Linked DNA regions of Lonchura striata. The protein of the gene in region 3 purifies or fractionates together with the protein of the main gene of each other region. This does not show direct contact. Links are inferred from orthologs where the notes say so. Each region holds a gene or a part of one and is shown on either strand. Other genes may lie near its edges. The genes, in order: GNL2, DDX24 and KRR1.

The links.
Region 1: the proteins of KRR1 (region 3) and GNL2 purify together in Homo sapiens (affinity purification with mass spectrometry; 3 studies listed by BioGRID and IntAct, with this or other methods). This does not show direct contact. The link is inferred for Lonchura striata from reciprocal best matches to the Homo sapiens genes KRR1 and GNL2.
Region 2: the proteins of KRR1 (region 3) and DDX24 purify together in Homo sapiens (affinity purification with mass spectrometry; 3 studies listed by BioGRID and IntAct, with this or other methods). This does not show direct contact. The link is inferred for Lonchura striata from reciprocal best matches to the Homo sapiens genes KRR1 and DDX24.

The regions. Positions count from the first base shown.
Region 1 is NC_134628.1:4,706,308-4,713,641, forward strand, and holds the start of GNL2 (nucleolar GTP-binding protein 2), read right to left. Parts: upstream 3,307-7,334; 5' UTR 2,829-3,306; coding exon 2,765-2,828; intron 2,683-2,764; coding exon 2,598-2,682; intron 1,080-2,597; coding exon 985-1,079; intron 83-984; coding exon 1-82. UniProt on the Homo sapiens protein: GTPase that associates with pre-60S ribosomal subunits in the nucleolus and is required for their nuclear export and maturation.
Region 2 is NC_134608.1:15,321,675-15,329,863, reverse strand, and holds the start of DDX24 (ATP-dependent RNA helicase DDX24), read right to left. Parts: upstream 3,019-8,189; 5' UTR 2,763-3,018; intron 2,107-2,762; 5' UTR 2,100-2,106; coding exon 1,373-2,099; intron 1-1,372. UniProt on the Homo sapiens protein: ATP-dependent RNA helicase that plays a role in various aspects of RNA metabolism including pre-mRNA splicing and is thereby involved in different biological processes such as cell cycle regulation or innate immunity.
Region 3 is NC_134607.1:46,815,472-46,822,982, forward strand, and holds the start of KRR1 (KRR1 small subunit processome component homolog), read right to left. Parts: upstream 3,035-7,511; 5' UTR 3,011-3,034; coding exon 2,899-3,010; intron 2,460-2,898; coding exon 2,281-2,459; intron 1,809-2,280; coding exon 1,674-1,808; intron 1,409-1,673; coding exon 1,283-1,408; intron 1,184-1,282; coding exon 1,100-1,183; intron 512-1,099; coding exon 455-511; intron 1-454. UniProt on the Homo sapiens protein: Part of the small subunit (SSU) processome, first precursor of the small eukaryotic ribosomal subunit.

The DNA.
Region 1 (7,334 bases), on a different chromosome or scaffold from region 3:
ACCCTGTAAGGATCCTTCATCACAGTCTCCATGTCCTCCTGGAATTTCTGTAGGGATGATTGCTTGATCACACGAGTATTTCCTGAGTGTAAAGAACAAACACTGCACCTGGCTGTTCCTGATCTCATCTGCTCCAACTGGGGACATAATAAAACATCAACTTTCCATCTAGGAACAAAAAGACCACTGAAAACTCAAAGGGTTTTACTTGAAACCAAGCCCAAATAGGCAGCCAATCCCTTTCTTTCCCACCATTTATAGGAAATCTAATTTAAAAGTATCTCTAGGACATTTAACAGCCATATATATGGGCAAACCATGGGGAACAAAAAAGGAGCCAAAATAATCATCCTTAGGGGAGTGTGTGGAAAGCAAAGCCCCAAAGCACAGGTACAAGCAAGGGGGAAAATGATGCTTAGGATTTGAGCTTTTCTATTTTCCATTTATTTGTAATCCTCTAGCTCTTTAGTGCATAACTCCAAACTCCACGTGCAGTGTGAGCTGCTGCTTTCCCATTTGGGGCAGACACAACAATTCCTCTCCAGGCCTGGCAATCAAGGACACCTCACTGCCTCAGGCCCTGAGAGATGGAAACAAAAGTGAGTTGGGGGGAGCAAACTTGGGGTAAATGACCTCATTAGCTGAAGCTGTAATTGGAAGATGCACCCCCAATATGCAAATAGACCAAACATATTAGAAGTATGAAAACCTGTGATCCATTGTCCATTTTTGGGTGTAGCCCCTTGGGCGGGCTTTGTCTGCCTGAAATGTACCTGAAACCCCTTCAATGAATAGAACTGCTTTTTATTGCCTTAATTTTGTCTGTCCCCTATTTTTAGGTAGCCCCACAAAGCATCAACAGCAGCAGGGGTCCCTCACCTTCCCTCACAACTCTCAAACCACCATTCTGAAACAAACACCTTGCAACACCCTAAGTTCAACAGCTTTGAAGCTTGCTGAGCCTGGAAATTGGCCAAAACTCACCAAACCATTTGATATTTGGTTCCACTCTGGCCACGGTGCCTGGCGCCACGGTTGACTGAAACTGCAGAGGTTTGATCACTTTGCCACGCTTGTTCCTAGGGGACAAATGAAGACACATCAGTGCACAAAGGGCAGCAGTGACCCCTCCAGCCCCTGTGTGCACCGGGCCAGAAGCAGAGGCACAGAGTGCAGAGGGACCCTTCCCCTGCAGTGGTGCTGCCCTGCATTCCATGGGGGTGAATTATCCCAACCTGTGGTCTCCTCCAGCCTGGCCAGACCCTCCCTGCAGCTGCTGGTGCAGCCCAGGAAGGGCTTTTGGGGCTGCAAAAGTTGCTGTTTTCTGGAAAATCTCACTGTGTTCCATCACAAAGCCTTTTAACCAGTTCTGCTCACCCGCTGACACAGGGTGGGACCTGGTTTAATTCAGCAATATCTCAAAATCCCTTCCCCCATCTGCTCTGCAAACAGTGGGAAATTTGGCAAAAAAACCAAACGTGCTGATGCAAAACAGGGCTCTCAGAACTGCCACGGCACAGACTCGTGGGTGCTGCTCCCTGCCATGGATCTCTCAGTGTGGCACAGAGGGGAACAGGGGGATCCTCTGTGGAGGTGCTGAGGGGAGCTGAGGCTCTCCAGGTGTTTTGGGGGCAGCTTTTGAGCTGTGCTGCTCTGGGAAATTCGGGAATTCTGTGTGCTTTGGGTCTCTCCACACAGATGTATCAAGTATTTTCCGGCTGTATCGCTGGGACCAGAGATATCCCTGGGCTGGGGAGAGCTCGGGATCAGGCTGGGGATCAGGCTCGGGATCGGGCTTGGGACCAGACTCAGAATCGGGCTCGGGCTCAGGATCGGGCTTGGGACCAGGCTCGGGACCAGGCTCCGGATCAGAATTGGGATCAGGCTCAGGATTGGGACCAGGCTCAGGATCAGGCTCGGGATCAGGCTCAGGATTGGGACCAGGCTCAGGATCAGACTTGGGACCAGGCTCAGGCTCGGGACCAGGCTCAGGATCAGGCTCGGGAGCAGGCTCAGGATCAGGCTCAGGATCAGGCTCAGGATTGGGACCAGGCTCAGGATCAGACTTGGGACCAGGCTCAGGCTCGGGACCAGGCTCAGGATCAGGCTCGGGAGCAGGCTCAGGATCAGGCTCAAGATCAGGCTCGGGAGCAGGCTCGGGATCAGGCTCGGGATTGGGACCAGGCTCAGGATCAGGCTTGGGACCAGGCTCAGGATCAGGCTCAAGATCAGGCTCGGGAGCAGGCTGGCGATCAGGCTCGGGCTCGGGATCAGATTTGGGACTGGGCTCAGGATCGGGCTCAGGACCAGACTCAGGATCAGGCTCGGGACTGGGCTCGGGACCGGGCCCGGGATCAGAGTCAGGCTTGGGCTCAGGACTGGGCTGGGATCAGATTCGGGACCGGGCTCGGGACCGGGCTCAGGATTCAGGACCAGACTCAGGATCAGGCTCGGGATCGGGCTCGGGACCGGGCTCCCAGCTCACGGGGTTACAGAACACACGCCGTGCCATCACCCAGGCGTTTTGTCGCCTGTCCCTGGCGCGGCCGTGCCCGGCCGGTACCGGGACCGCGGCCGGGCCACGTTCAGCTGCCCACCTGCGCTCCTTCTGCCGGTACATGTTGAGGCGCCGGATGGTCGCTCGGTCCCGCATGTTGTTCCCTCCCTCGCCGCCGACGCGATCTGCGGAGACAAGAGAACATCAGCCTCGGCTCGGCTCGGCCCGGCCCGGTTCGGCCCGCCCGGCCCGCGGTCCCGCCCGTACCGGGGTTGGTGCTGGCGCGGGAGGGGTTGATGGAGCAGCGGCCCTTGTAGCGTGGCTTCACCATGGTGCCGGTGTGGGTGCCGGTGCTGTAGGGGTCTTGGTGTGGGTGCCGGTATCGGTGCTATAGGGGTGCCGATGCCGGTGTCGATGCTGGTGTCGGTACTGTGAGGGTCTCGGTGCCGGTGCTGTGGGGGTCTCGGTGCCGGTGCTGTGGGGGTGCCGGTCTCGGTGCCGGTGCTGTGGGGGTCTCGGTGCCGGTGCTGTGGGGGTCTCGGTGCCGGTGCCGTGAGGGTGCCGGTCTCGGTGCCGGTGCTGTGGGGGTCTCGGTGCCGGTGCCGTGAGGGTGCCGCTCTCGGTGCCGGTGCTGTGGGGGTCTCGGTGCCGGTGCCGTGAGGGTGCCGCTCTCGGTGCCGGTGCTGTGGGGGTCTCGGTGCCGGTGCCGTGAGGGTGCCGGTCTCGGTGCCGGTGCCGGGACAGGCCCGGAGCGCTCGGGCCGGGCCGCGGACACGCGCGCGGCGCTTCCGGCGCGCGCAGCGTCTGACGCACTTCCGGCGCAGGCGGCGCTTCCGGGCCCGGTTGCCACGGCAACAGCGCGCGGGCCCGGCCGGGTCCCTTTGTGTCCCTTTGTGTCCCTTTGTGTCCCTTTGTGTCCCCCCGTGTCCCTCTCCCGTGTCCCTCTCCCGTGTCCCTGCGCGCCGTGGCGCTGCCCGTCTCCGGAGTGCCGCTGCCGGGTCCGGCCCCGGCCCGCGGGCTGTTGGAAGGCCCGGCGGGGCCGCTGGCACGGGAGCCCCCATGGTTTGGAAGCGGTGTTTGTTCGCTGGCACGTTAATGGGAGTCGTTCCGGAGAGCTCCCTGCCTCTGCTGATGGACTGGGGCGGCTGCTGGGACACTGGGGCTGCTGATGTGACACTCTGGTGGCTGGTGTGACACTGGGGTGGCTGGTGGGACACTGGGACTGCTGATGGGACACTGGGATGGTTGGTGTGACACTGGGACTGCTGGTGGTACACTGGGGTGGCTGCTGGGACATTGGGTCTGCTGGTGGTACACTGGGGTGGCTGCTGGGACATTGGGTCTGCTGGTGGTACACTGGGGTGGCTGGTTTGACACTGGGGTGGCTGCTGGGACAATGAAGTGGCTGGTGGGACACTGGGATGACTGCTGGTGGGACACTGGGGTGGCTGGTTTGACACTGGGACTGCTGGTGGGATATTTGAACAGCTGGTGGGACACTGGGGCTGCCAGAATAACACTGAGGCAGCCAGAGGGGCAGTGGGGCTGCTGGTGGGACACTTGAACAGCTGGAGGGACACTTGAACAGCTGGAGGGACTCTTGGGCAGCTGATGGGACACTGGGGTGGCTGGTGGGACACTTGAGCAGCTGGAAGGACTCTGGGACTGCTGGTGTGACACTGAGGCAGCCAGAGGGGCACTGCTACAGCAGAGACTCAAGCACAAGGCAGTGCTGGTGGGTGTTTACAGGCACACGGGGCTGTTCTTTCTGGGTTACTGGCAAAGAATTTTAAAAATTAGCAATAACAGCACTGCGTGTTTTCCTGTGCGGGCAAAGCACTGCGTGGATGGTGCATTAACAAATCAAATCTGTGCAGCTCTGTGTCCAAGGCGTAAGCCCTCGTTCTGCTCCTGCCAGATTGTAACAGCAATTTGCAAGCTCCTCACCTAGGGGAAATGAACGAAGCTGGGCTGAAACAGTGTTAATTGATAGCAGAGCTTGGGCTGGGGCCAAGCTCAGCACCTTGGGGAATACTTGCCCAAAACACAGCTCTTATTAGCAGCAGAGCATTCCCAGCCAGTGCAATGTCCTTCTGGTGCTGCTAATGCTCCTTTAAACCCAGAACAATAACAGAGCTGCTGGGATTTTGTTCTCCTAATGATTTTCAGCGTTTTGCTGTGAGGTGTAGAGTCCCTGCTGTACAAGGGAGCCATGATGAGTCAGGCCTTGGGACATGTTTTGTAAGACTGAGTCTGGAGCTGGAGGCTGTTTGGCTTAAGCCTACACATTCTGGTTTTTCTCTTAATAGAATTATCTGTGCCTTGGGCATTGAAAAAGTACACATTGATGTGGGCATAAAAAAATCAATTCCAAATTGTAGATAATTGTTTAAGCTATCAGACTCGAGGCTCATGCAGAAGAGTTTTCCCAGGACAAGTGTGTTTTCTATTAGAGTTGATATCAATCTGTCAGAAAAGCCTTTTGATTTTCAAAATTTTAGACTAAATAGTTGAGTAATAGTTTTGCTCTGCTCTCCCCAGCTCTTTCTTCCTTTCTCTTAAGAAAACTCCCTCTTCATTGTTAGCAAGAGATCTTGGGGAGCAGCCAGAAAGTCGCTGTCTCTTTTCTGTGAGAGAACAGACCCAGCCAGCTTTGGGCAGGAGGTTGTGGCAGGGAGAGCTTGTCTTGGGGATGCCCCAGAGTTGGGTGCTGAATTCCCAGGTTGGAGGCATTGGTGGGAGGGCTCAGACCCTTTACCAGCTCATAGGGGTGGGCTATGAACCTGGATTTTCTGTCATGAGATCCTACTGATAACGTGTGGGACGTGTGGCACCTTCCTGCAGCACTTCCCTCACTCTCACACATCCCCTGACCCGAATTCCAGCAGTTGGTGTTGAACTTGCAGCATCCCCGAGGCTGCAGCTGCTTGTGGATCTGATAACGTGCGAGTCAGATATTTTGCTCCACTAAACTGATGTTTTGTTGCTCTGTGACTCACAGTTTGCTATTGATGCATCCCCCCATTTCAAACTTTAGTTTTTCTCATTCTTTCCTGGCGACATTCATGTCCTGGCCACAGCCAGCCAGGACAACAGGGTCACAGATCGTTGTCCATCGCCTCTGCTACGTTGCCTCAGCTTCTCAGAACCACTGCCTGAAATAAAATCATTTTGAGTTTTATGTGGCCTCATCTTTGTCAAATCCCAGTGAATGTGGTTACGTGATGCCATTGGAATGACTCATTCCCATAATTACATATGTTCTGAGGGGTTATTCCCATTGTATTATTAAAAACTAGTGATGTTGGATTTTTGGCAGGGATGTCTTCCTCGTATGATCTACAGATTTTGTCAATTAAATGAAGGAAAAGTAGATTTCCAAGAGTTCAGAACAAGATCGGACTTGCACTCAGAGCCCTTTTTCAGTGTGGTATTGAGCTCCTCTGTTTCATTTAACAGGATAAAGCAGCCTCAGCCATCTTCCCCTATTGCAGCAGTTCCCTGCAGAGCACAAGGATGCAAGTGGATTTTGTAGCTCATCTCCAAAATCACAGCAGAAGATCTTGTAGGCAGTTTATCACCACAGCAGCTTTCCCAGCTCAGTTCCCCAGGCATGGCTTCCCAGGGATACAGCTGGCAGGAGCAGGATGGAGGTCTCCTTGGCAAAAGGCTCCAGGTGTGACAGTGTTGCCCTGATTCTTAAGATTTTCTAAAGCCTTCTAAGTTTACATTCTGTTAGAAAACTTTCCCACACATTTTCTATAAACAACCTATTGTTTTGCATTCCTTCGTGGGGGTGGAAGAAGTTGATGTATTAGTAGTTTGTACAATGTCTTTGGAGAGGTGACCCATTCACTCTCCAATCCACTGTCACCTTTGGAAAAGTATAAAAGTTGAAGTCAGAAAATAAACCTTCTTTTTTACCTTGCCATCGCAGTGGCTCGTGTTGTGCTTTCTCGTGTCCTATAGCAACATGACAGGAAACACAAAGTAATCCTGGGTTGTTGCCTTGAATATGGAGTTCCCAAAATGGTGACTGAAAGCAACAGGGCAGCTCGGGAGGGAGGAGGAAACTGAAGTCAAGAAAAAAGGCAGAAAGGTGTAAGAGGGCTTTGAGAGGCCAGGCTGAGCCTGGGGGGCTCAGAGCTGGGCTGCAGAGCCCTGGGCTTCACCCTGGGCACATCTGCCAGCCCCACGGGTCTGGGGTGCACCGGTGCTCCCGTGGGTAAAGCAGCTCAAGAGAACATTTTCCTGTGGTTTGATTTGAACAGCCATGGAAAGTAACTCCTGCCCTTACGGGCTCCTCTGTGGCCCTGTCAGTGCCTCCAAACCAGCGCTTTACCTCAGGCTGGAAATGACAATACACCACCTTCCTAGCTGCCTCTCTTTTCCTGTTCTTCAAAAATCCTGGAAATTTCCAGCAAGCAGCTCCATCCTAACGATGGTTTGGCATTCAGTTGGGTGTGATGTATTACCATGTACAGAAATGCCATCAGGGTGATTTATTGGTGGTGACTGATTAAATGAAATTGGTATTTCTGTACTTTTAATGTAGGTTTTGTAAATGTGATGCCTGTCATTTCTATCTGTGAAGTATATTGACTTCATAAAATATGTAAATATATATTTGAATTATTCCTGTTAGTGTTCTCAGACAATGTAATCCAAACAATAGTTTTGGAGATAACCTCTTTCACTATCCTTCTTTGTTTCCTTTAATCAAAGCTAAGATTTCTCCTGAGTGAGAAATCATTCAAACATAAACATGGGCTAAGGAGTATATACATTACCTCCACCTCTCTGGGGGTGGAAAGTCAGTGAATTACTGTGTGAGTAG
Region 2 (8,189 bases), on a different chromosome or scaffold from region 3:
GATGCAGAAAAAAGAACTAGAGAGTTTCAACCTCTCCCAACTGCAGCACTTCCTGAAGGCAGCTGTCCACATCTCCTAAGTTTCTACAGAAATACAATGATCCCATGGACTCTCTGGAGAGAATCTGGATTTCACTCATGAAAGATAAATGAGCAAAACACATTCCTACTACCTCAGGGTTATACAAAATTATAAAGCAACAACACAGCCTGCCAACAACCCTGCTTTCCATTCTGCAGCTAGAGAGGAATTTGCTTACCAGTGCTGCCAAAATGGCAGTTTTTTGCAGTACAAAAACATCATTTAAATTTTCAGTTCCATTTTTAAAAACACTCCCTGCGGGGGCTTTCTAATCTTACTAAAGCTAATAGTATCAACACAGCTTCTAATTAAAATAAAAATGCAAATGACTGCATATCTTAGTTACCTTCTTGCTGTAGAGCAGTAAATGACTTTACATAGAAGCACTGAGATAAAGCAACTGGAACAGATTAAAACAGTGTAAGGGAAGCTTTTTAACCAAGGTAGCTTCTAATTGTGCTTCCTATTTCTAGGTGTTTTGGGGAAAAAAATGTTGCTAAAGACAAAAGTTCAACGCTATGAACCACCAACAAAGTTTGAGGGAACATAATTTTCAGAGACTTCATAGCATTAAGTAAACAAGTAGCTATAATAAATTTCATGAAGGCTAGGAATACTTGAAGCATAAGCTGAGCACACGATGGACATGACTCTACCCCTCAAATCATTAATGTAAGAACTCACTTTAAGCACAAGCAGGGAGAAGGGCTGGTGACAACATAAAGGTAAAGCCTGGGGGCAGAGCACAGGGTGGGCCCGTTTTGCTCTGAGTAGGACCTGGGTCATATTCACACTTAACATTGTGCCCAGTGCTTATTACTGCTCCACACCAGCATGAATTATCTCCACGGGAACCTGGGAGCACGTGCTTGGCTGCTGCAGAAACGACCCTGTTTGCTTCATTAATTCTGCCTTTTGCAGAATATCACCTTACCATTCCCAAAACAGGAAACAGTCTGAGAAACAGGAAAAGAGACTTCTGCCAAAAGCACAGAAACTCGTTGAGACTGCAAAGCTTTGCATGCTTTGTAAAGATGGGAGTCCCCATTGTTTACAAACATGTAAGTTTAACCATGTAAGTTTATGAACCTCTAAATCCCAATGTTTACAAACATGTAAGTTTCAAAGATTGAAAACTCTAATACACTGTAAATGCAAAAGACAAAAGCTCTTCTCTTACAATACTGAAAAACTGCTTCTTCTGCATATAAAAACTTGCAACCATAGGCTACGTTTTAAGAAAAGAAACTGGATGCTCCCAGCATACACCATCAGCTAAACAGACTTGTACCTGTTTCTGCAGCACCAAGAACATCCATATTATCCCGAATGGCAGAAGGCAAGGCTAAGGCTTGAATGGGAGTTGGAGCACTAAACCCCAGGTAGCTCAACGCCTGCAACACTGGCTCAGGTACAAACAGGTCTTTCCATGCAGACACATCAGCTTTTTGATCAGTTGAGGCAGATAAAACTTCTGTTGTCCAGTTTTTGACTTTTTTAGAAGTAGCTACTGATGGAAGGGCTTCCTGTGCTTGAAAAGCCTTGTTTTTAGGTACCTTCTTTTTCTTCTTCTTTGTAGTGTCTCTTCTGCTTGACATGCTCTCAGTCACTGGTCCATGGTCTTCACAATTAGCTTCTTCAATTATTTCATTACACCTTGCCTCTTTAGCAACCAGCACATCCATTTCTGCTGCATTATGAGTATTGTCTTTATCTGTTTGGCTTCTCAAATCTTTGTTTTTCTTTTTCCTTTTTGGAGGGACAACAGGTTCTTCCACCTCCTCATTGCCTTCTTCAGAAGCAGTCTCAGCCTTTCTCTTCTCTTTTACTTTCCCCACTTTGGAAGAACTTACTAACTTATAGTCTGTGAGTTCCTCCAAGCACACTATATCTCGAAACTCCTCCTCAGCAAATAGATTGGGGTCAATCTGCACGGTTTTCCATTCTCCTACTACTTCAATGCCTTTTCGCTTCAATTTAAAGGAAGACCTAAATCTTCCTCCTTTTCTGGCCTTCATTTTTTATCTAAAAAAAGAAACCAAGGGAGGCAAAAAAAAAAAAAGAGTCTTCAAATACAAGGACTGGAGACCACCTTGATATTCAAGCAAACGGGAGCCCAGGGAATAATTGTTTCTTCTTAAAATATATTTCTCAAGATATAATATAGTATTCTTATTTCTTCTTTAATTATATCAGTATCATTACTTATATATTACTTCGAGCTAGCATATATATAGCTAAAGTATAACAAACTATAATATAGCTAAATAACTAAATATAACTGTAACAACTATTAATATATAATACTATAACAGCTATAATATATACTATAACAACTATAACAACTAAACAACTATAATACAATAATATAATATAACTAACTAAACAACTATAATACAATAATATAACTAACTAAACATAACTATAACTATAATAATATAACTGTAATATAACTAAATATAACTATAACATAACTAAATACAACAGGCAGGCCAGGCCTCCTGCGTCCCTCCTGGAACACCTCCAGAGATACAAGCAGAGCCGCTGGATAAATCCCCGCAGCAGGCCGCGCAGCGCTCCCGCCCCGGGAACCACCGGAGCCGCGGCGGGCCCAGCACGGCCTCCGCCGCCACACGCGGGAGCTCCGGGCACTTGCTCCTTGCGGCCCGCGCGGCGCTTACCGCGCTCAGGAGCCCCGGGGCGGAGAGGGGCCGAGAGGAGCCGAGAGGGGAGCGGAGAGGGGAGCGGAGCGGGATCCCCGGCCCGGCTGCCGCTACCGCCGCCACCCTCCGCGTGCGCCCCTGGGCGCCGCCATTGCTGCGTGACGTCACTGGCGAGCGACGTCACTGGCGAGCGACGTCACGGGCGCGCGGCGTCAGGCGCGGCGCCGGCCGGGAGCGATCCTGAGGGAGCGGCCGCGGGAATGGCGGCCCGGAGCCGGGTCTGGACCCGCGCCCTCGGCTGCGCCTCAGCGGCACTGCCCCGGCAGTGACCGAGGCTTGTTCTTCGCGCTCGCTGGTGTGCTCTTGTGTTAATGCCTTTTGCGGGTGGAGTTACGTGTTGCAAATAGCTGCAGGGAAGGAGCGAGCGCCACCGAGGTCGCGGCAAGGCTCTTTGTACCTCTTGTGTGATCCATGCGCTTCCCAGCCGTATCGTGCCGTAGAAAGACAGCGAAATAAGTTGTAATGGATGGTTCTTATTTCTTATAAAGGGCTGGCTGATGTTCAGAAGAGCGTCTTGCTGTGAGGCGGGGAGAGAGTTAAAAACCACGAGCTTTGTGGGTGATAGGGACTGCGACAGTATGTTCGAGTACAATTACAGCAACACTTACAATTATTTCTTCTACTTGGTATTTGCAGGTCTTTCCCGGCTTTGCGAGAAGATGGGAAAACAGATGGTTGTTTTCTCTACCTTTTTTTTTTTTTTTTTTTTTTTTTTTTTTCAGTTCCAGGTAGTCATTAATTATGGATGCTCTCAGTTCAGTCAGAGAGAAAAGGAGAGATTTCTGCCAGGCTAAGCCTGGGAAAAAGTCCGAGAGGAATGTAAACTACTTGTTACCTCTTTCTGTTCATGTTGCTTATAGATATGTTCTGCTACCGTGTGCTATTCATAGTGCACCAATGGTGTGAAAAGTTTTCACCTGAGACCAATCATATTTCACCTTAGCGACCTTGGTTATAAAAGAAGAACACTAGTTGTTAATAAGGGTTTTCACTCTTTACCTTCTGATGTTAGAGTCATTTTCATTCCCATCCTGCCTCCACAGCAACAATTAATGACTTACCAATGCACAATATGTGGAATTTATTCCAATTCATATTCCATGAGCAAGGCTAAAGAGCTTTTGATGCTTGGTCCTGATGTTCTGTATAAGATGAGTTTAAATCAGTGAGTCAGAAAGTGAGTTCAGAGAGCAGGAACTCCCCTGTAATTCATTTATGGTATAGTTAATGTAAAATATATCAGTGTAGTTTATTAATTATCTAATTATTAGAGCAGGATTAAGTGTGTTTGTTGGCACTACTCAGTCTTGTTAGAATTTTTCCTAGGCTTGTCTGGACAGAAATATTTACATACCCTTGAGTTTATGTGCTTGTAAATATGTCTTGTGCACATTAAACATGTCTCAAATACTTAGAAATCTCCCCCAAAAATGTGCAAAATACTGTTCTTCCCACATAGAAATACCAGGGCAACGTGCCTTTGGAGATGGAGATAGTGCTGCTGGTTTTTGTGTGTAGAACAGATCCCAGTGAGTAAACAGCTCTTTCTGTGGCAGAGAGGACACGTTGCTGGAGTTGTCCTGGTGAGTGGATTTGTGGCAGAGAGGGGAAGGTCAGGCTGCCAGTCAGGAGGGAGCAGTGTCACTTCTGCCCTCACAGTGAGCATTGCTGCCCTGTGAGCTGAGCCAGGGACTTTGGCACGTGGCAAAAAACCCCACCTCAGCTCTGGGGCACTTACAGAGTTCAGATTCCCCCTTCTTGGTGTGCATGTTTACGTGTTTTACCTGATACCTTTTACAGTACAGCCATCAAACCTGATTTATGTAGTACTGAGCTGGAGGCAGTGATGGCCAACAGGACTGTCTCTCTGATGGGAACTGGGGCTGCATGCTAATGCCAGCCTTAAGGAGAGGTCTCAGCACTCTTCATTAATTCCTTCATTAAAAGTACCCTTCCCTACAGGTTGCTTAGATTCAAAACAAGTGACAAAAAAGCTTGTTTACAATATTTTTCATGTTCTCTCTTCTTATTTACTGCCTATAAGCAAAAGTAAATTTGCAGAAGCAAAAGAAACAGATTACTCTGAAATTTTGGTGTGGTTGACTTGCCACCGATACTGAATAAAAATAATGAAAAAAACTTGGGCAGAAAAGTTCTTAGCTGTTACTCCTAGGTATAATTACGTGTCCTGTTGTAGTTGTGAACTTTGCAGCTTTGTCCTGATGAAAGATTTAATGTGGAAATGATTTGCCAAATTATGTTGAATTATGCTTTCTAATATAACTGTGGACATGTTTTTATGGGAGATAGGAGTATTCTGATTTTTTTTCTAAGAATTCATGTGAGGGTTGCAGCTGATTTTCTTCTTGATCAGTACTGAGCTCTATATTCTAGACTGAGGGACAGAATTATAGGCCCTCCAACTCAATTTGAAAGAAGGGACGTGCCTGAAGCAACAAGCTTCAGAACAGCCTACACAGACGTGGTGACTTTCTCACTGCCACAGTGTGAACTCGTTGTACAAGAGCCATTGGTTGAGTTGCTTTGAAATGGGATAACCAAGGGAACTAAACATTTGCTCAGTATTACAGTAGCAGTAATCTTTCTAAGCCTTTGTAACATTAATCCTTCTGAGCCTTTGTGACCTGAAAGAGGCCCAGCTTTGGTATGTTGTGACAAGGCTTTGTCAATGAGTTCAGCTTCGTGTCCTAACAGAGTCAGCTGATAAACTCCTGGTAAATACAATTCCATTATTGACAGTACAGAGTGAACTCTTGGTAAAACTACAAATCAGACAAATGAAACAGGTCTGCTTTACACCCCTAGGGCGTCTTTAGATCAACAGTTATTTAAATACAAGGAAATTGTAAATTGAAGATAATAACCCGTGTTAATAAGTTAAGGAATTATGTCATTTGCTTGCATAACTCATGTCAGTGCATGCATATTTTATTACTTTATCAATAGTTTCCAAGGTATTTAAGCCAGTATGCCTGAGAGCCCAAGAGAACTTGAAGGGTTTGATGTCCTCATTACAGAGTTTTACCTGGTAACAGATCCTGTTCTTCCCAGCTGTAAATTTACATTCCTGCAGATCAGTAGCCCAGGGATTGTGGTTTGGTCCCTTCTGTGCAGTATTACATAATAGATACTATATGTTTTTTCAATTAATATTTTGATTTTTTTATAAAATAGTGAAGACTTCTCCTAAGAATGCTTAAGGCAGAGAATGTTTTGACCAGTACCTTTAATTCTTTAATTTTGGGATTAGTGTAACTGAATTCAGCACGAGGAACAGTTAAATGTGCGTGTCAGCAACTGATGTAGGCTTTCACTTAGTAATCAGATTCTTTGGTTTCTTTTTTTTTTTTTTTTTTTTTTTTTTTTTTGTGTGTGTCTTGCAGGAATGTCAGTATGTGCTTAATTACTGATTTGGATAGCTATTTCTGCTGACAAAAGAATGTCACTGTACTGTGATTTATATTAATCCTCACAGTGCACTGTGCACCTGAAGAACATGCAGCTGCTGGCCAGTGGGAGACCTGATGCCTCCTGTGCTTTGCAGACTGTAAAATTTGTTCTTTTTTATTTTTCGTTATGTAGCCAGGTGAGGCTGCTTGTCCTGGTCCTGAAGTGGCAAGGTAAAGCCTTGTTTCTTTGTTGTCACTTTCAGAAGTTCTGGAATACTATTCTAGGACTGACAAAATCTTACGGCATAGCACCATTTGTCAAACCTCATTTGAAAATACATACCCCTTTGCCTATGCTGCCTTTTTTTACTTTCTCTCTGTTCTTCCAGCTTCACAAATGCATTTCTTACTCACTTGCATGAAGCCTTTTGTCAGACAGCATGCTGCTCCTTCAGCGAATGTGTTCATAAAGCCAGGAGAATAAGATACTCTGTAAGTATGAAATTTAAGAGTACTGGCATGTTTAACTCTAGTTTTAGTACCAAAGACTTTTTCAAGTACAGATTTATCAAGGTGAAGATTTTTCTGTGTGATTGAAGAATAGCAAAGACAACTCCATTTAATGAGAGAAACATTTGGAATGGTTGCAAATGCAGTCAGATGCACTAGATACTTCAGAATGTATCTTCAAGGGAATAATGCTGAAGGAAGTTATGAAGATAACAGGAAATTAAATACAAGTCCATATTGATTAACTGTTGCCCTGTTCTTTTAAAAGTTTTAAAGTTATTTTAGAAGTTTTCTATGCCTTCTGATGTTTACATATTTCTACTAGAGTTCTCACACACTGTTCATTTAAATAATAATTGTTTTTCATTCTCCTTTGTGAGATGAGAGAATTAATAGACTGTTAGTTTGACCAGTGTCGTTAGAGAAGTAACAATTTCTTCCTCCAATCCACTATCACTTTTAAAATTCTATATATTACAAAGTCAAAAATAAAACTTCTTCTTTTCCTTCTTTTACATCCTAATTGAGTGTGTGAGTTATTTCGTGTTGTAGTACAACAGTTAACCAAGGGGAAATGGGAAATCAAGGCATGTCCCTTAAGAGGGTAACTGGTTTTCTGGGCAGAAAAATAAAGCACATGTAATCTGTCTGGACAACCTCAAAATATTTTTCATAGGGGAAAAAGGAATAGCATGGAACTTCAAGGGGAAAGAAGCTGGCTAAAGAGGAAGGGAAATGCACGTTTCTTTTGGGGGAGCACATTGGTGTGTATATTGATAGATTAACCTATCAGCTGTATGGAGTTTGCTTGAGTTTCTTGAAGTCTTGTGGACTACTCTTATTTAATGAATAACTGTGATACAATATTAAATTTGCTGATGACACAGTTATTAATACAAAGGAGAATTATGATACAAGGCCGATTGAAAAGACCTTGAGGACCAGTATAATTGGATGAATTGTATTATCCAAAGTACAGCACTATTCAGCTAAAGCTAATACTGAGAATGTATATCATTAAGATGGGACTTAATTAATTTTAGGTCACTGTGGATGACAGTAGTAATTGACCATAAGATTAACTGTGAGCTGCCAATGTTGTATATTTGGTAAACTAACTCCTGTACAGATATTCATTCTTTGCAAGAGGCATTATTTCCTAGATATTTTTTATTTTCAATACTATATTCCGATCACCTTAATTCAGGAGAGGTGAAGTCAAAGTGCAGCAGATGCCATGGGAATTGCTAGGGTGGTCAGGAGAATGAAGAGCCTGTTTTAGAAGTGAAAATGAAATTCTGAGTTTAGCTTTTTTTAATCCAGGATTGGAGCAGATATGACTGCAGTCTTTAAATACCTGGAAAGGAAGAATAAGGTAAAGGACACTAGCACAAGAAGAAACTTGGTAAACTCACCAACAGTAATTTTATGTAGGAAATCTTCAGTTTCTATGGCAACTAATGAG
Region 3 (7,511 bases):
AACAGTATTACAGTAGAGGCCAAGAAATCCAAAACAGAAGTTTACATGACTTTCTTAGAGTGAATATGCTACATTCAAAACTTCCATATCTCACTTCAGTAAGAGCAGAGGGGCTTAATTATGAACAGCAGAACCAGAAAGAGGTCTCAAAACAGGGACAGAATGCACTGGAGAAGGCGCTTCAGTTTAAATGTGCAAGTATCGAGCCAAGAATCAAAGTAGAAAGTTTGTATAAACTCTTCCTTTGATTTTGCAGATGCTGCCATGATGGTGTTATGGCAATGCATTCTAGTACAATGAAGTTTATCAAAGTCACTAGGTTTTATAGAGCAGCACACTACAGAAATCGTCAAAATAGATTACCACACAGAAACATCTAAATTTTTAACATACAACCCTCTGGGAATAAATAGCATTTTCTTGTAAATAAAGATGCACAGTGGACCATGCTAACCTTGATGTTATATATGGGATGTATATTCTTCATTGTGTCCAGAACAACTTTTCTAACCTGTATTAAATACAAAAGAAGAACAGAAAGCTCATCAAGTATTTCATATGCTAATCACTTAAAATATCACCTATAAAATATTGTGCTTCCTCTTCCTGCCTCTGCCTCACCAAAATAGTAAGAATTAAAATTACAGAACCATTATGGTTGGAGAAGCTCTCCAAGATCATTGATTCCAGCCTTTAAAAAGCTAAAGCACAGGGTTTAACCAGAAGGAATTAAAAAATGCCAATACTATTGTCATGCTTCTAATAGACTCCAGGAGGCCCCACAAACATTATTTTCATGTTACCATGGATCTTATGGTGTCATGAGAAACTTGCTTTTGATAAGCATTCTTCTCTCACATAGTTATTAAAATACATACAGATGCTTTTTTTTGCCAAGACAGAAAGATCTTGGAGTCTAAAGAAAACTCAGCAGCTAAGATGCTAATACTATGGACGTTCATGTAAATGTAGCTTACTAACAGACAGCTGAAAAGTCAGTGAGATACCGCTGAGGTTGAGAGATTTTGTGTATCGTCCACCCTCGAGCTTGGCACAGAAATTTGTTTGCTACACAAATGGCTCATCTACCTCAACTTACCTCTTTTAGCCCACTAAAGGGTCCAAGAGCTGAAACAGTGTTGCCTTGCACCATAATATAACAGTTTGTTAACAGTTCCAGGGCCTACACCAAAAAAAAAAAGAAAAGAAATTAGTATTATATTAAGACCTAACACAAATTTGGGTCTCAATATTGTGTGGTTACTACACCTATAGGAAATACCTTCAGAGTAGATCCTTTTGGCCCAAGAAGTCGTGCTCTTCTTTTTATAAAAGTCTCTCTCTTCCTCACCAGAGAGCCTATCTTAATGATGTCACATGCAACATCATCCTGAAGGATACGAACTGCCTAAAGAAATGCAGGCAATGTCATCTGAATTCAAATGTATTAATCAAAAGAGTCAAGAGAATACTTCAGTTTATTCTTCTACCTTTACTTTCAGATATATTTACTTTTAATGTTTTCTTTTACTTGACTCACTTTAAATGCCCACATTTTTAAAACTTAGTATTTTATAAGTACTATGATAGAATTTAAGTATAATATTATAATAGAATTTAAGACAAAATATAAGCATCATGATGGATAAAAACTTTCAGGATTTATTACAGACCTGCTCAAATGGAACGCTTCTTGCCAGAAGTTTTATTAAGTCTCTAGCCCTAATGATTGCATACGGATCAAAAGTCTTCTTAGTGGTAGTGACAGTCATGCTTCCCTCAATTAGATCCAGCGCTGCTTTCACATACTACAATATTTGAAAAGAAACACCAGTTCAATATCACAATTCAGCTTTGGTAGTAAGCAGTTAACTAACTGAATGCAGATCTATTTTCCAAGATTTCTAAAGTGACTTTTAGTTTAAGAAAATTCACACAGAGAGACAAAACCCTGACTTTATATGTGTCATAAGGCCCCAAGCACCACCTCTCTTATCTTCCTGATTTCAAGCACAATAAAGCTGTCAGTACTTGGATGATGAGATATTTGCTACTGCAAATACTTTGCTGACAGCATTTGTAAAGAACTGCAAGTCTGGCTATGCAGCTCTTCACCGATTTTGATGACAAAAAATGACACTGCTAATTTAAGATGCAAGCACAGTAGAAATTTACAAACATGGCATGAGAAAAGCAACTTGCACCGTTTTTATTAGCTTAAGTAAGACCTGTATGTCCCAAAATGTAAAGTGCAGTACCACAATGATTAAGAGTTCATACATGTTCACCCAAGGCTTTCTGGACAAGTGGCCAGCACTCTTTCAAGTATGCTTCTCTATACTTTGGGAACAATGTTGCAAAACTGCTTTCTTCCAGTAGCCCTCTGGGATTATCCTCTCTTGTAAAGGCTGGCTCTTTCCATCCATCTGGCACAGTGAGGAGTTCAGATTCATCAACTGCTATTAAAAAGAAAAAAAAAAGTCACTGCTATAAGAAGATTATTATATAAAAAAGCCATTGTTATAAGAAGATTATATTAACAGTATAGTTAATGTAACTATATTAACTATACTGTTAAGTGCGGTTTGCATATATCTTCTGATCTTAGAAAAATTACTGCCTTAAAGTCTTTATATTGAAGAAAAAAAAAAAAGAAGAAATCCGCAGCTGAGATATGCGCTGTTGATCTGGCATATACAAGACGATTACTCAAGTATATTACACAGGAACAAGGCACAGACTGAGGCGAGGAAGCCGAGTACCTCGACGGCAGGAGCACCGCAGCACGGCACCGCCGCTGCCGGCCCCAAGCACCCACCCGCCTGTACTCTCTGCAGCGCCCCACGGAGGCCCCCGCGGCCCTCCCGGCCAGCCGCCAGTCCCGCATGCCGCCCTCACCTGGCGCCGCTTTCTTCTTGTTCTTGTTCTTGTGCTTGTCTCTGCGCTTGGGGCCCGGGCCGGGCGCGGCCTCCTCCTGGGGCTCGGCCTCCTCCTGGGGCTCGGCCGCCATGTCCGCGCGGCGGAAGGGCGGGGCGGGGCGGCGCGCGGAACTGGCCCCGCGCTGCGCGAGGGGCGGGGCGGAGTGCCCGCCTGCTCCGCTCTCGTACCTGGAGAAAAGCGCTTCCCGGGGACACCTGGCTTTCCAGATTAATTACTTACTGTTCAGTCGATTAATCTGGATAGTAAATAAGTAGTTTAAGGTTTTCTGGGCGATGCTCTGCATCCTCCTCCATGCCTTTTCTTGTACCTGTAACTGAGCGTTTCCTTCAATGAAAGAGCAAGAATGCGCCTCCTTCGCTCTCTTTTGTGGAGGCCATGAAAAGCCAATGGGGTGAAAAACTGGCGGATCTTTAAGAGCAAGAACACTCCGAGACAGGACGGTGGTTTCTTTGGCAGGTGTTCACCGCATCTGTTCATAAAAACCGGCACTCTATGACATTTAATTACCTAAATGATGAGAAAGACATTTCTATCACCTGATCTGTACCTGAGTAAAATATTAATTTAAAAATCAGTTTTGACCCTCCTAAAACCTTTCCTACGGAACTCTTTTTCCTTGCCTGCTCCATCTGCCAGCCCTTTGCGCACCCCCATCTCCCACAACAAACAGGACCTGCCAGGTCCTTGCTGTCTGCAGCTTGACATCGAATTGATGCAGGCTTTTAGCCATTGACGTTAATTTCTGTCAACATCCTTCGAGCAGGGGCGGGAGCGGTTCCCGAAGAGGAAAGAAGCTGAAAGGGGAGCCCTGGAGGCCGTCGGCAGGGGGTGCCGGCGGTGCTCTGGGAGCAGGGTGTCCATCCCCGCTCCCGCTAGATGGCACGGCCGCCGCGCTCAGCGGAGCGCCCGGGCGGGACCGGGAGCGAGGGAGGGAGGCGCTGGGGATGTGCTCCCCCTCTGCCCACGCAGCCCCGCCCCGCCCGGCACCGGGCTTTGGAGGCCGAATGCCATTGACACCGAAAAGCTCCGTAGCCCTGGAGGAGCTCGGGGAGGCAAATTTGCCCCTCTCACCTCTTGGGCACAGAAGCTTTCTGGGGCTGCTTGCCGGGTATTCCCCAGCGCTGCAAAAGCCTTTGAGCACAGGAGGGGGTTCTGCCCGGCTACGGGCACCCGGTGGATGCGAAGGGAGGGGCGGGGATCCTGGGGGGGCGGCGCAGTGAAGCGCACAGTGTGCGTCTCTCCCACCTGAAACCTGGCCACGCGGTGTGAAAGCACAGCAAAGCTGATTTGGAAATAGTTTGAGGGGGGATGCTTAGTTTACTTCTGCTCCTGTTTAGTGCCTGGCGACTCCTGTGGTGCAGCCCGCCAAAAAAATCACGGGAGTGGTCTGTGGAAGGGGCATGCCCTCAGCGCTGGGCAGTGGGAGTAAGCCTCCTGATGGGATGAGAGGAGGGAGTTACAGAGGCTGCTATTCACACTCAACATCCATAGAGTGTTGAGTGTGAATAAAAATTACAGGCTGCAACCTCCAGCCTGCCAACCTCCAGAGTAGTGTCTTGCTGCACAGGTACATCCCACACCTCTGAGTGGCAGCGACAGCCCATTTATGTGCCCTCTCCTCTCCTGCATCCCAGCCCCTTGGCCAGCTGCTGCTCCAGGGGATTTACCGAGCCCCCGAGGCCCTGTGCTGGAGGAGAAGTGAATGGTGTGTGGGGTAAGGGGCAGGGGACTGGGGCCTTGTGAGTTCTTTTCTAACGATGGGCAACCCTCTGTTGTCCAGTGCTGCTCTGAAATGTCTCTTTGCCTGATTAACACAGATACACTGAAAATAACAGAAAATAGAGGCAGTAATGCTAACAAACTTGGAAGATGTGATTTGAGAAGGGTCCTCAGGTCCCCACCTCTGATTCTTTGAAGGAGACAGTAATTTCTCATCTCTCCTCTTACCTCAGTATCTGCAGTCTGGCTGGATACAAGGAAGCCACTTCCCTAAATTCCTAATAGGATCAGGATGTTCCCACAGACCTGCTCTTCTTCTCCAGACAATGCATGTGTATATAATTTTTACTATTCACAGCTCAAATGCAATAACCAGCTACTGCTCATTCAGTGGGGTTAGGAAGCTGATGACAGCTAGCTACAGGGACAATGGGTACTGAGGGGACAGGGACTGACACTGCTGTCCAGGTGACTGGGACGAGGATTCTGCAACCCCTCAGGACCAGGGTCCTCTGCACACTGGTTTGAAGCTGAGCTCCCTCCCAGGCAGGAGGGACAGCGTGAGTGCCTCTGCAGTGGTGGGGCACAGTTACCACATGTGGGGGGAATGCTGTGCTGCTGCATGCTGTAAATCCCTGCCCTCCACCACCCCTTCCCCCAGGGTCTGCATGCCCTCCCAGGAGCAACGTTTTCCAAAACCACCTTTCACTGACAGCACTTATCATGTTCATTGTTCTATCCAGCTCAGTGTGGGTAGAAGATGGAGAGACCTTCCCGAAGAAGGGCATGGAGAGACCTTCTCAGAGGTCTCGAAGACCTTTGTCTGAATAGTACAAATCCTAGTCTAGCAAAACCCAACACCTGCTGGAGCCATTGCTGTACCTGGGAGGAGCTGGCTCAGCTCTGTGTGTGTGTGTCTATGTGCAAATGTTTTTTCCTCTTAAAAAAAAAGTGAAACAACACAGCCTCCCTTACACACATTTATATGATACAATAAATAGGGCAGAGCACTGCTGTTAGAAGGAAGGTGCCTCTTTATTATGCAGCAAATTATTTCCCAGTCAGTAGCTAGGACTCCAGCCACTTGGCACTTTCTTGTGTGCCATTTTCCAATCCAAAAGAGCAACTTGGGATTTTTTGATAATTCAAGCAATCAGATGAGCTCCTGCACATGGCATTAATTTGCTAGAAACATCACACAGATCCCATTCAGCCTTAGCATTCATAAATCCATGTGACACTTTTATCTATTTATCAACTTTTAACAGCAGTTTATGATTGTTAGCAAGCCATTTTCTAGGGATTAATAAGTAGCTTTTGTTGATGGCAGCAAGAAGGGCATTTAACTGCTCTGGGATAGTCATGAATCTGTAGTAAATGCTAAGCATCTGGATAATTTCTATATAATTAAATAATCAATACTGCCTTTTGATTCAAATAACTAGACAATTGTTTTCGAATAACTACAGATTCAAACAAATAGAGAATTGGCTTAGGGTGTTCTTAATTCTTTTGGTTTACAACAGGGCAGGAGACACATGGGTAAGTGAGATTTTCTGCTGGTGTAACAGGATCTTAAATTACCAGGTATTTTGTATAAAACCTGTCAAGTGGTCAAAATAGCATTCAAACTAGCCACCAAAACCAATTCATTGGATTGGATGGAAAATAAATAATCTCATATAATTTCTTTTTCATAATACTTTCATTATTGAAATAAAATTAGGTAACCTGACCCTGGAGGTAGCCTGGAAGAATTAAATAATCAAACAGAAACTCATCCTGCCCAGCCACCCTCAGCAAAGTTCATTTTGTTTAATTCCCTGGCTAACATGACCTCTGTGCCCTCAGGCAGATGAGGTTGTGGTGTCATTTCTCTGTCTCCCTCTCTTTCTTCCTTTATCTCTCTGGGCACTGGTGTGAGTCACTTCTCTGGTTTTGTTTTGTTCTTGTCTTTGCTGTGGAATCCATTGATCTGCAGAGGTGCTCATAGATTATGGTATTGGTGTCCACTGCAAACTGGCCTGGCAGGAACACACTGAGGTGGGGCTGCTGTCTTCTCTGTGGAAAGCTCAGGAAATGCCCCAGCAAGCAGAGTTCATCTTTCCCTTTGAAAGAGAGCAGAGAGGACAGTTCCTGCTGAACCCTAAGAGTAACAAGGATCTGGAAAATTAGAGGACTGTAAACCATAAATGCATCTTAAAGGCCTGACTGGAATAGCAAAGCAAAGATAATTTGTGGCAGAAAGAAGAACCCAGAATAAGAAGAAAGAACCTATGGGTAAAAGAGACCATAGCTGTGTCTGGGAAATTACTTGCTTGCAATAAAATTGCTGTCAGTTTAGGGACAAGAAAAGGATGAGAGCCAAACTGGGAAAGGAATTTAGTGTCATGAAATCAAACCAGCAAGTTTAGATAAGAGGTCTTTGGAGCAGGGAATGTGCCTAATCATGTATTCATACAGTGACTGACAGAATGAGGCTTTTGTCTTGACTTGAGCCTCTGTGAATTATCAGAAAGCAAACACCAGACCAAGGCAAGCTGCAGCAGGACCTCTGAGATAGACACAGGGGAGTAAAAATGAGAGTGAGGGTGAGTGCTGGTCAGGGGTAGGTGTATTGGAAGCTAGGGAGGACAAAGGCAGGGGCCTGAGGAGGACAGTGGAAGAAAACGGCTAAATCGTTATAGTGGTCCAAAGCCTCAGAGGGGAAGAGGGTCAAGTAGGGATGAGAAAGCATTTGGTCCCATCAGCTTTAGAAATTCTCCCACACAGTGTGGAGAGCAATCACAAGTTCCCAAAGGCCCAGTAGGGACAGCTAGCAGATTTCTCCAGCTGTTGTTGTATCCATCCGA